Ovis aries: one gene and its partners. The protein of the gene in region 3 purifies or fractionates together with the protein of the main gene of each other region. This does not show direct contact. Links are inferred from orthologs where the notes say so. Each region holds a gene or a part of one and is shown on either strand. Other genes may lie near its edges.

The links.
Region 1: the proteins of KSR2 (region 3) and FKBP5 purify together in Homo sapiens (affinity purification with mass spectrometry; 3 studies listed by BioGRID and IntAct, with this or other methods). This does not show direct contact. The link is inferred for Ovis aries from reciprocal best matches to the Homo sapiens genes KSR2 and FKBP5.
Region 2: the proteins of KSR2 (region 3) and MAP2K2 purify together in Homo sapiens (affinity purification with mass spectrometry; 3 studies listed by BioGRID and IntAct, with this or other methods). This does not show direct contact. The link is inferred for Ovis aries from reciprocal best matches to the Homo sapiens genes KSR2 and MAP2K2.

What each region holds. Positions count from the first base shown.
Region 1 is NC_056073.1:9,818,958-9,823,246, reverse strand, and holds the start of FKBP5 (peptidyl-prolyl cis-trans isomerase FKBP5), read left to right. Parts: upstream 1-1,470; 5' UTR 1,471-1,580; intron 1,581-4,289. UniProt on the Homo sapiens protein: Immunophilin protein with PPIase and co-chaperone activities. Component of unligated steroid receptors heterocomplexes through interaction with heat-shock protein 90 (HSP90).
Region 2 is NC_056058.1:17,717,518-17,721,074, forward strand, and holds part of MAP2K2 (dual specificity mitogen-activated protein kinase kinase 2), read left to right. Parts: intron 1-1,373; exon of another isoform or gene 1,374-1,901; coding exon of another isoform or gene 1,902-2,042; intron 2,043-2,114; coding exon 2,115-2,261; intron 2,262-3,557. UniProt on the Homo sapiens protein: Catalyzes the concomitant phosphorylation of a threonine and a tyrosine residue in a Thr-Glu-Tyr sequence located in MAP kinases. Activates the ERK1 and ERK2 MAP kinases.
Region 3 is NC_056070.1:57,243,554-57,247,616, forward strand, and holds the start of KSR2 (kinase suppressor of Ras 2), read left to right. Parts: upstream 1-1,211; 5' UTR 1,212-1,907; coding exon 1,908-2,087; intron 2,088-4,063. UniProt on the Homo sapiens protein: Location-regulated scaffold connecting MEK to RAF. Has very low protein kinase activity and can phosphorylate MAP2K1 at several Ser and Thr residues with very low efficiency (in vitro).

The DNA of each region.
Region 1 (4,289 bases), on a different chromosome or scaffold from region 3:
TATACCGTGCGCGTAGCACAGTGCTTAACTCCAGGCTGTTAAAAAGCATGTGGGTGTATGCTAAGTCGCTTCAGTTGTGTCTCAGAGAACTTATGGACTGTGGCCTGCCAGGCTCCTCTGTCCATGGGGATTCTCCAGGCAAGAATACTGGAATGGGTTGCCATGCCCTCCTCCAGGGGATCTTCCCAACCCAGGGACTGAACCCGTGACTCTTGACGGTCGGGCCTTGGCAGGTGGGTTCTCTACCACTAGCACGCCACCTGAGAAGCCCCATTAAAATCACAGTAGATGCTTAAACGATTGGCATTAGTATGCAGAATTAATGCACAAATAAACTGTTTCAGTGACACTCTTTGGCATCTGGTAAAAAGGTAAGCTTCTAGGCCCTGAAGCAGGGCCTTTGCCCTCACTGAGGAGGTTTCAGCGTCAGCTCTAGTGGTTGTTTCTGCAGGTGGCACCTCTTGAAGGCAGGGATGGTTATTTGCAGAAGAAACTCTTCATAAATACCTAAATGACCCTAGGTGATATAGTGTTGAGGCCAGATGTGGAGTTAGGAGATGTTAGGTTTCAATAGGTGATTATTAAGCTCCACAGTTGTGGGACTTCAGGTTCCTGTTTCCTCAAGAATGAGATTGAGCGAGCCACTCCCTAAGGCCCAGGAGCTGCTAGCTCAGTCCCCTTCATCCCAATCTTGGTTTGGCCATTACACTCCAGGGGCCCTGAGCCCCCTCCTGAAGTCCAGCTGCTCAGCAGACCTACCCGTTGGCAGGCGGCAGAGAACACAGACATCTTTTAAGAAAACACAGAAATCCTCTGCTGTCTCAGTCACCTGGGATCTCATGTTTGAAAGGTAGAAGACGGAGGGAAAGCCTAGTCTTAACAGTCCCTGAGTGTCCAGAGGCAAGTGCTACGTGCTATGGTTTCTCCAGATGGGATTTTTTCCCCCCAGTTCCAAATGGACAATACCAGTTCCCCTGGTATTGTTTCCCGGGGCTAACCTAGCTTGCTTACCTGACGCAAACAAGCCTGGCCTGCCCCTCTCCTTCCGCGAATCAGGTCGGGTGGGCGGACAGGAGGGCAGAACTGTCAGAGAGAGGTCCCAATGTGAAGTCCACTAGCTTGCTTGGGCATTAGTTTCCCCGGAGGTAAGGGATGGAGTGAGGGGGCGTCGTTCAGTTTCCTCCCTCTCTTCCCTACAGCGCCCACAAAGGGGCAAGGGCCAGACACGTGGGCTGGCGTGGGGGAGGCGGAGGTTACACCAAGGCGGAGGTGCAAATGGCCGGGGGCGGGGCCTTATTTGCATGGACGGCGTTCGGCCGCCAATCGGGATAGGAGGAGCGACAGCCCGCGCGTCTTTTGGGGCGGACTGACAGCCCCGGGGCCCTATGGGAGGCGGGTCCTGCGGCCCGCGGGGGCGGGACTGCGCCGGGCGCTGCCCGGGGGGACTCTGGCCGCTTCGCGGGCGCTGCCAGTCTCCGGCGGCGGCGTCCGGCGCGCTGGCGGCCTGCTGGGCGGGCTGAGGGGCTGGCGGCGCGCGGCTGAGGCAGAGCGACAGAACGGGCGAGCCGCCACGGCGACAGGTACCGGCGCCATGGCCACGGGGGGGATGAGGCGGGGTGGCCGCCCGGCCCCGGGAGCCGCGTTCCCTCCTTCGCGGTCCTGCCGCCGCTGTGCCGCTTCCTCACGCGGCGCCCCAGCCCGGGAACCGCGCTGCGGGGCGGGCGGCGCCGAGACGCCTCGGAGCGGGCGCGCTGGAGGCGCCCAGGCTCCCCCGCGGGAATCCTCTGCGCCCCGCCGGGCGAGCGGGGCCGGGGCTCCCTTCGCCTCCGGGAGGCGCGGAGCCGGGCGGCCGCGGGAGCGGCTCCCCGCCCCTGCCGCGCTCTCCCTTGGGAAGACGAGGCCGGTCGCGCCCCGCTGGTCCTCACTCGGCTTTTTTTTTTTTTTTTGGTTTCCCGCCCTGGGTAACAGGTCCCGGCTCCGGCTCCTGTCTCGGCGGCCCCCGACTCGCCCGCGGCCCGGCGCCCGAGAGCCAGGCGGCCCGTGAGCCGCGGCCGCCGCGAGCGGGAGAGAAACTTCGGTCTCCCGGGCCCGGGCGGCGGGAGAAGTGGGCCGGCGGTGAGCCGTGCGCCGGGACGCATCGCGGCCGCGATGGAGCCTCGCTCACCTGGCGGGCCCGCCGAGGGGAGGGATAACGGAGCGTCCCGCCGCAGCCGCGGTCCCCGGCTTTCGGTCTGCGCTCCCGGGGCGGTGGGTGTGGATATACGCGTTCCCCGTCTTTCACCTGCCGCCCCGGGAGGGGGACCAGTGACTGGGAACACGGCCTCCCCGCCCTCGACTGCCGGTAAGAGGGGACCGGGGCAGCGCCGTTCCAACAGGTGATTATCCCAAGTGCCAGGTGAGAGCCACTGAAAAGTTGTTTCAGGGTTCGGTAATTCAGTTCTCCGGGGGCTTTGTAACGCCTTCTCCCATAATGATTTTTTTTTTTTTAAGGTGTGCTGACCGCAGTATAGGAGTCAAAAACTAGTATTGCTTGGGGTGCGGGGTGGGTGGGGAAGGTGGGGAGTGTCGCCAGCGGGTAGATTGCCTTCTTTCCATTGACTTGGCCGGGAGGAACATCTTAGTTTAAAAATCGGTTTCTGCAGTGGTGGTGAAAGCATGCATAGTAAGGTACAAGTTGTAAATGGAGAATGCAGAGCTCGAGATATCCTTCGCTGTGGTTCAGGACAGAGTGTACAACGTTTGGCCGCCATTCAGTAAATTCTGCATGAAGCAGTTTGAGCTCGTGGTTTTGGATTTACTTTACAAGAGTGGAATACGGCTTAGCTTTGAATGGGAGCTTTCTTTGCCTCTCTGAGGGCACACAGGAGTGTTTATTTTCATTGTCTTCTCGTTTTGTTAGATTATAGACGAGGGAAAAGTTGAGGCATATTTTGGTTCAGTATTTTTAATAGTCTATGGGAATTCTCCTTCACCCATTCCCCCCTCCCCCCGCCCCGCATAAGAGTATTTATTTTAAAATTCGAGGGTAGAGTTGAACAACTTTTTATTCTTGTGGAAGTTTTTATGTTATACTTCCACTTATTTTCTGTTTCTCTCTCTCTCCCGGCTGACCTCACTTAAAATCTACAGTTATGGCCCTGACCAATTTTAGAAAAAATTTAAAAATAATATATAATTATTCTAAAATATATTATGAAGGTTTAGATAACTCAGATTTTTCTTCTTATGTGTCTTTTTTTAAAATGTCTGTGCTGGATATGATTTGAATAAGAGATGTAAGGAACTTCTTAAGGACAGTTACACTTTTGATTTAATTATGTTACTTTATTAGTGCTTCATTGAATGGTTATTAGTCACATGTTAATTAGTAACACCTTTGAAAGGTGCACTCTAACCGATAGGCTAGTTGTGACTGTTCGGGATTTTTTTTTTTAATCAAAGATAGTTTTCATAAAAATTGTTTTGTTTTCTTGAAAACAACAGGCTTATCTGCTGTGAGTTCTTTGTCTTTCAAACATGACCATTTTAAAATATTGGATTAGGAACTAGTGAAGTCTTCAATTTTGTTTATTCTTGCATTGGAAAAAGAACATATTTCGGTTGTTTTGTTTCCTAAAGTCTTAGCTTAGAACAATCAGTCTAGAGAAGGAAGAACATTCTCTTTCTATAGTTGTAGAAGAAATTATTACTGTTGAAAGCTGAGTTGGCTTTTCGATGCTTAGTGAAGGTAGATTGAACAGTGACTTGTTCAGAGTGAGTTTTATTCTGTATAAGTAGTTCTGAGGAATCTTATGAGACTAGGGTTATGGGTGGTCTATATAATTGTTTTAAGTGTATAGGAGTATATTAGTCTAACTATTGTGTATAATTAGAAGTTTTATAGTTTTTATCTTGTGATGCTTAAATGTATCACATACCATAAATTAAAGCTATATTTCATAGTTTAATTTACAAAAGCATGTTTTGGGAACTTTAACTGTAAAAGTGCCTTTTAATTAAAATACTGTTTTCAAATTCAATTTTTACATGTTTCAATTACTGATTTCTGTCCACTTTTAACTTGTGGTAGACCGTATCGTAAAATGGTCAACCACATTATAGCTTCAAAATTAAATATAAGTTGAATTCTTACATCTACGTAATAAATGTTGGGAGTATTTTTAAGTCACTTACCCTCAGGTGTGGCTCCTTTTGAATTTGGGGGTGGGCAAATATTTTTGATTAAACAAAGCTACAGAAAAACAGGGACACATGTGAAACAAGCTACGTTTGAGGCTAAATCACACGAT
Region 2 (3,557 bases), on a different chromosome or scaffold from region 3:
TCCCTCCTGGCCCTCTGATGGGCAGGGCAGTATCCTGACCAGTCCCACAAGACCCAAGGGAGCTGGTCTCCAAATGTTCTCTGGACTCCAGAGTGGCGTCCCTACTCCTCCTGCATCTTAGTGAGAGCCCCAGGCTCGAGTCCCGGGAGTGTGTTGCGCCCACGTGGCTCTCCTGACTTCCTGTGCTCCCAGCAAAGGAATGTGTGTTCAGCCTCTGTGTGTGTTCCTGCCCTCAGCCCCTCTGGCTTTAAGAACGGAGTTACAGGCCTACCCAAGGCCACGTCCCAACACTGGCCCCCTTCTTTGGAGTGATGGCCCTGAGTCAAAGCTGGCACAAAACCTCAGTGTGCACTCCTGTGCCTGTAGACCAGCAGCTCTGTTCTACTGAGGACCTGAGGCTGAGCTGGTTGGTGTCTGGCTTGGGCTTGAATCCTCTTGGGTCTGTTCTTTGCAGTTGACCTAGTCTGTGGGCACGAGCTGGGTGTCCCCTCACAAGAGAGAACCATCCTGCTGGGGGTGGCTGTGGGAAGGCATGCTGTCCAAGGGCCTGCAACCAGAGCTCGGCTCTGCAGGCAACCTTCAAGTAGGGGTGGGAGGTTTTGCCTGGGGGCCTCGTGGGTACCAGGCACTGTGTTGCCAGAGTCTTCCACAGTTCTTCAGGTTTTAAGGGGCATTCATGTGGGTCACACACATACACTGTGCCCCCTGAACTCCGCTCACACCCCTCCAACAGGCAGCTCTCTGTCCTTCCACCTGGCACCCCCACCTTCCCTTGTCCATCTGGCTGAGTCCCACCCATCCTTTGAGGCCTGGCTTCCGTGTTACTGGAATCCTGGGTCCCACCTGTCTGATTCCTCTATCAGCACCTCTACCACCTGGGGTTGCTCTGCCTGTGTCTCGCCCATTCCCGGTGGCATGTCCCCTCCAAGCAGGACCTTCTCTGCTGTCTGCTCATCACTGGCCCTGCGTGTAATCAACTCCACAGAAATGTCTTAAATTGGTCACTTTCAGATACCTGGGCTCTGGCTCTGCCTCTGACAGGGGTGGGTGGGAATTATACTGTTTCCTTGTGGTATCATGATGGCTTGGGCACCTGGGACTCTGAGCAGCCAGGTCAAGGATCCACAGCCTGGCTCTCTCCCACCATGCGGGGAATCTTGGCTTCCTTGGGGTTTGTAGCTGGGCATTACTCTGGGCCCCTTGTCAGCTGTCTTCTGCATCTCTAGGTGGTCATTTCCTTCCTCATCTTTCCAGGTATCGTGATGAATTTGGTGACAATCCTTTCTGTCGACTTGGACTCAAGGGGATGGGGAGCCAGGCTCCCGGGGGGGGGGGGGGCAGCAGAAGGCTCTTTGTGGTCTCTCGGCTGTCAGGGGAAGGGGAACCCACCCCGATGAGGGGCAGCGGTGAAGCAATTGCCCTGTTGAACAGGGCACTGCTGGGTCTGCTCCTGGATGGGTGACACTGCACAATTTGGTTCACAGAGCTCCCCCTGTAACCAAGTGGATAGTGTTGCCTCTGATGATACTTTTTTTAAGTAGCTTTAATGAGATGTAATTCACCTACCATACAGTTGAGCCTTTTAGAGTATTTAACTCAGTGATTTTTAGTATATTCGTGGAGCTGTGCATCCATCACCATCATCAATTTGAGAACATTTTCATTACCCCAAGATGCATTCCATCCCCATGAACAGTCACTCCCCTGCCCCACCCTCAGGCCCTGGCAACCAGAGACCCGCTCTCTGTGACTGAGGGTCAGCCTGTTCTGGATGTTTCCCTTTAATGGAATCACACCCTGTGTGTCCTTCTGTGTCTGCTCCTCTCACTTAGCGTTATGTTCTCAGGCCGCATCCATGTGGTAGCGAGTGTCGGGGCTTCTCTCCTCGTCATGGCTGAGTGATGCTCATATGCGTGGAGGGACAGCATCCTCGGCCTGTCCCTCCTTCAGTTGATTCAGGGCGTACAGGTTGCTCCCATCTTCCAGATTCTGTGAACATTCCTGTTCAAGTCTGCTCTTGGGTGTGCGTCCTCAGCGCCCAGGTAGGTGGATGACCCCTCCTTTCCCGCCCCCTCAGCGGTGCGGCCCTGACCCCGCGCCCCTCTTTCCCGCAGCTGATCCACCTGGAGATCAAGCCGGCCATCCGGAACCAGATCATCCGAGAGCTGCAGGTGCTGCACGAGTGCAACTCCCCGTACATTGTGGGCTTCTACGGGGCCTTCTACAGCGACGGCGAGATCAGCATCTGCATGGAACACATGGTGAGCCCGCCCTCCCCCACCCCCCAGAGCCCTGGCCTGTTCCGGGGGGCCCAGCGCAGTGGGGAGGCGGTGCAGCTGTGTACACACTGCACATAGCTTCCTTCGTTTCTTAAGCACCACGTAGCCTCCTCTCCATTTTGCTTTCTCCCCGGATCCATGGGAGACACTGCTCTCTGTGGGCTCAGAGCTGGCCCCATCTTGTTCCCTCTGTTGGTCACCCCGGCATCCATGTGCACCCACCGGGTGATTTATGAAGCACTGTTGGTGGACACTGAGGTTGTTCCCAGTCCCTGCCGCGTTACGAATAATGCTACATTGAAAGTCCTTGCACCTGGGACTTCCTTGGTGGTCCAGTGGTGAAGACTCTGCGCATCTGCTGCAGGGGACGGGAGTTCAATCCCTGGTCAGGGAACTAAGATCCCACATGCTGTGTGGTGCAGCCAAAAAAAAAAAAAAAACCAGGAAAGTCTGTGAACCTAAGCAAGCCCACCTGGGGAGGGCTGCTTGAAGAAATGCTTGACTGCTCCTTCCCACATGTCCTCTAGCCAAAGTGCGTGGTCTGGGACACAGTTCTGGACCCCCAGCTCAGGCCTGTGGGGACCAGGCCTCTGCAGTGGAGGGTGGGCGCCCATCTCCTTTAAACCACGACTGATTCCTATGCGCCCTGTCATTAAGGAACTCTGGTCTCAAGGCTCAGAAATGGGTGGGATTGAATGTCATGAAAGCAGAAGTGGTCAGAGCTGAAGGCCCCTGGAGGAAACATTGCCGGCCCTCTGCCACCCGCCCTCGGCAGGTAGAGCCCTGCCCGAGCCCAGCTGTCCAGGCCCCAGCCCTTGGGGGCCCTTGCAAAACCAGGATGCAGTGTGGCTTTCAGCAGGCAGCTTCTGTTAGGCCCGGCCTCCAGCGCACTGTCCTCTCTGATGGTTTTGTAATGAAGTCAGGAAACGAATTTGAGCAAGAGCCCACCAGGAATGCTTGTGAGCCACGGGGAGGGTTCTCCCCACAGCTGCTTTGCCCCCACCTGGCAGTGCCCAGTGGGTGCCCTTTCCTCACTGGGGAGAAGGCGGTCATATCTGCCCGCCCACCTGGCCACCTCCTTGCAGATGAGAGTCAGGAAGAGTTAGGGTGAGAAATGGACGTGAGGTCACTCTGGTCTGAGGGGGCCTCTGCTGTATTGTAATGAACCCCCCACTCCCACCCCCACCTCTCTCCTTCTTCCCTCCCCACCTCCACCTCCTCTGTGTTCCTGGCCACAGCACACAGGCATAGCATGTGCAATCTTAGTTCCCCGACCAG
Region 3 (4,063 bases):
CATCTTCTTTATCCATTCCTCTGTCAGGGGACATTTAGGCTGCTTCCATGTACTGGCTATTGTAAATAGTGCTGCACTGAACATTGGCGTGCACATATCTTTTCAAATTATGATTTTCTCCAGATGTATGCCCAGGAGTGGTGTTGCTGGATCATATGGTAGCTTTAAGTTTTTTAAGAACCTCCCCTACTGTTCTCCATAGTGGCTGCATCAACTTACATTTCCACAGTGTAGGAGGATGCCCTTCTCTTCAAACCCTCTCCAGCATATATTGTTTGTAGCATAAAATCCATTTGTAATTCTGGGACCATAGTTTGCTGATAGAAGGTCAGTTAGGTATTCTGGGATCAGATCATGCAGGACATGTAGGACACGGTTAACAATCAGATTAAGGCAAAGCCCCTTTCACTCTCCAAATGGAAAGTCACCCATTAGGGCGATTGAAGGCCTGGGTGTCAGTTCTGGGAGGCAGTTTCCTACAGCCCAAGGGAGAGCATCAGGTTTGTCCCCCTCCCCCCTGCCCCCACATACCATCAAGGGAGGACAAGCAAACACACGCACACCCCACGCCCCACCACACACCTACACCCACCCACCCACACCCACACACCCTTCTAGCCAGAAAGCCAGAGCGGACGTGCCCAGGTTCACGCTGACGTTTTTCCAGCACGCACTATGGGGTTTAAAGTTGGACACACACCTGCTCCCAGCCAGAGCGCACCTGCTGAGCCGCGCGCCGGCCTCCTCTCGCGAGAGCGGTGCAGTAGTAGTGTCCCCCACCCCCGCCCGGCCACCAAATCCCTCTCCCCGCCCCCTCGCCCAGTCTCCGCGCTCTGGCACACTCCCTGCCTTCTCCACCGCCCCCAGGAGCAGCCTCAGCCGCCGCGCGCGCTTCCCCCGCCCCCCGCCTGCCGATCGCTCGCTCGCACGCACGCCCGGTAGTAATTTCACTTTGCCACGCGAGCTCCGCATCCCCTAGAAATCCCGCCCTCCGCTCCCCGTACCCGCGCCGCGAGCCGTCCCTTTCCCCGGCCAGGTGCGCGAGCCTGCGCGCTCCACCTCCGCCTTCTCCAGCGGGTCCCTGGCGCGCCGGAGCCGGGGCCCGGCGGGGGCGGATGCGCGCACGGCGCCTCTCCACCAACCCGCTCCCCTGCAGGTCTCTCGCTCGCTCTCCATCCCTCGCCGGCGCTCCCTCGCTCCCCCCTCCCCGTGATTGACAGGCAAGATGTCGGTGTGGAGCGAGGCAGGAGCGAATGCAGCAGCCGTCACCCCCGGAGCCCGGCGGCGGCAGCAGCAGCAGCGCGAGGACGAGACAGCAGCCAGCCGCAGTCGCCGCCGCAGCCGCGGGAGCAATGCAGACAGCATCTTGAGAACGCGCTAAAGCACCCCAAACGGTGGACAATGCCGTGTAACTGCAGCTGGGAGGGGGGCAAACCAGATTTTTTTTGACATAAAAGCCAGCCAGCCAAAAATATATAATTTTGTCCTTCACGGAGCCGGTGTGTAAAGAGTGAGCGCTATTTTCCTTCTCCTCCTCCTCTCCCTCCCCCTCCTCCTTCTCCCCCGCCCCCCCGCTAAGTGTACAGACAGCATCACATCACCTGGTTTGCTTCTGAGAAACAGCATCTCTTCTTCTCAGGGACCAGAGACTCAGAGAGGGGAGACGTTCTAATGGAGTCTGCTTGACACCCCAAAATAAAATAATAAATTTTGGCTCTTGTCCCCTCCTCCCACCCCCACCCCCTCAACCCTGTGTGAGATGTTGGGTTTCTTCTTCATGAGACACTGTTGAGAAGTCGCAGTGGTTGGAGAGGCGTAGGGGATAGACTACCTCTACTCCCCCCCCCACACCCCCCTTTTTTCTCTCTGGGAGGAGGAGGAGGGGAAGGGGGCTTGCAGAGCAAGCGATGGATGAGGAAAACATGACGAAAAGCGAGGAGCAGCAGCCTCTGAGTTTGCAAAAAGCCTTACAGCAGTGCGAGTTGGTCCAAAACATGATAGACCTGAGCATCTCCAACCTGGAAGGGCTTAGGACCAAATGTGCTACCTCCAACGACCTCACACAAAAAGAAATCCGGACCTTGGAGGTAGGTGTTGCCTATGGAAAAAAAAGAAAAAAAAGCAATCCTTCCTCCCCTCCCCTTTCTCCCCCACCATCCCCTTTTTCCTTGATTCTGTTTGTTGGGGGTGGGGTGGAGGGGGTGGGAGGATTGCAAGGTGGGCACGGTTCGGTCTTCGATCTTCTGTGATTTATCTTGCAAACCCTGCGCTTGGATGTCCCTTCACTGTACCGCTGTCGGCTGCCGCTTGGCTGGGTGGTGGGAGCAGTAGTAGTAATTGTTATTCTTTATTATTGTTCTGGCGGCTGTGGTTATCGTTCGCTTCCTCTCTGAGGAGTGAGTTCTCTCTTTTTTCCGCTTGTGGATTTGTTGATATGCCGCGGGGGGCTTGTGTGCAGGGTAAAGACGTGAAGGCGCTGCAGAGAACCCACGTGACCTTGCGCATTCTGCAGGTGGTCAAAAGGTGGTTTTTGCTTGCGGAATGGGGCTGCCTGGAAATGTAGACCTCGTCTTTCTTGGTCTCCTTCCCAGCCCTCCCACCGCCCCCCACCCTGGGCTCCTTGGATTTGGCTTGTTTGTTTTCAGGGGTACACAAGTCAGGAGGCAAGATGCCTGAAAAAGAATTCCCCGTTGAGCTCCCCATTTCCAGTCGAATCATTTTGATGCAGGGAGCTGTTGCAGGCCTGAAGCATGCTTTTTTTTTTTTTTTTTAAGAAAAAGCCTGGATCGGCACACACAGGTGGTGTGAGAAAATACTCTGGAATCTTGGTGGGACGGTGAAAAAAAAGGAGGGTGGTCGGGAGGAGGAGTTATCTTTGGCGTGTTATAACATTCTCTCTAACAGAACTTGAGGGGGAGTTTGAAGCAATTTTGTCCGGGGGGGAGGGGGGTGGGGTGGGGTGGGAGGTAGGATGGATGCAAAGTTACTCAGAAAGAAGATGGCAGAAATTATTCCTTTCCAAGGCCATCTGGTCAAAGGAAGGAGGTTTCAAGAGGTTTAGAAAATGCCTGGCATCCACGTTGTTCCAAACACCTGAAGGGTTTAACTCACCTCCCTCCCTCAAACCGGCGGGTGGTACACATGGCTTGAGGCTTGATGAAATGTGGGAACTCCCATTACTTGGCATTTGCTGAGGGTGGTGGCCATGGGCTGGGAGCAGAGGAAAGTGGTTCTCCTGTGGTGGAGCTGGCGTGTGCAGAGCTGGGAGGGCCCTTCGTTCCAGCCCGAGTGTTTCCAAGGCCTGCACTCTTCAATCCTGGACTGAATCTTTTAGCCTTTGTGCTCCTGTCCCAGCATGGATGAGCACCTCTCCCTGATTCACTTTCAAGTCTTTCTCCTCCATGGTTTTAAATTTGGCCAGATGTCAGTCAGCAGGCAGGAAGGTCACCAGTTTGAAAGTGGAAGTTAGTGTGTGTGTGTGTCTGTGTATATTGAATATGCTATTTGCTCCCCTAGAATGTGTCTCTGTATGCACCTGTCACCTGGGAAAATAACTGTCAGAAATGAAATAAGTGTCAAGGGGTAGCAGAGGCGTGGGAATTCTGTTGGGAGGCACAGGTATTTTCTTTCTCAGAGCTTTGGAGAGCCATGCAGGGTGGGACTCTGCCGATGGAAGAAAAAGTGTGGGATGCCCTGGCCCAGCCTTCCGTCTCTGTTCGAGCAGTGCCTCAGAGAAGATTCTGTTCAGAATTGCATGCTGTAAATAAAGAAATAACCCAAAAGGGCCACCGGAGGTCTCTTCTGATCCTCTGAGTCAGAAGTCCCAAATGCTAGCTTGTGTATTAGTATGTAACTTTCTCTAGTTTTCTTTTCTTTTCAACATGCTTCATCCTCTGAGAGCTCTGTGGCTCATGGTGATTGTTGCAGTGGGCCACTGATTCCATTGCTTCTTTTCTGCATAGAGAGGTATTTTAAACTGGGAGAGGTAGGCATTGGTATGGTGGGAGGTGGCAATTACTGGGAGTGCATCTGTTTGTTTCCTAATCCCAGTATGCCGCAGAGC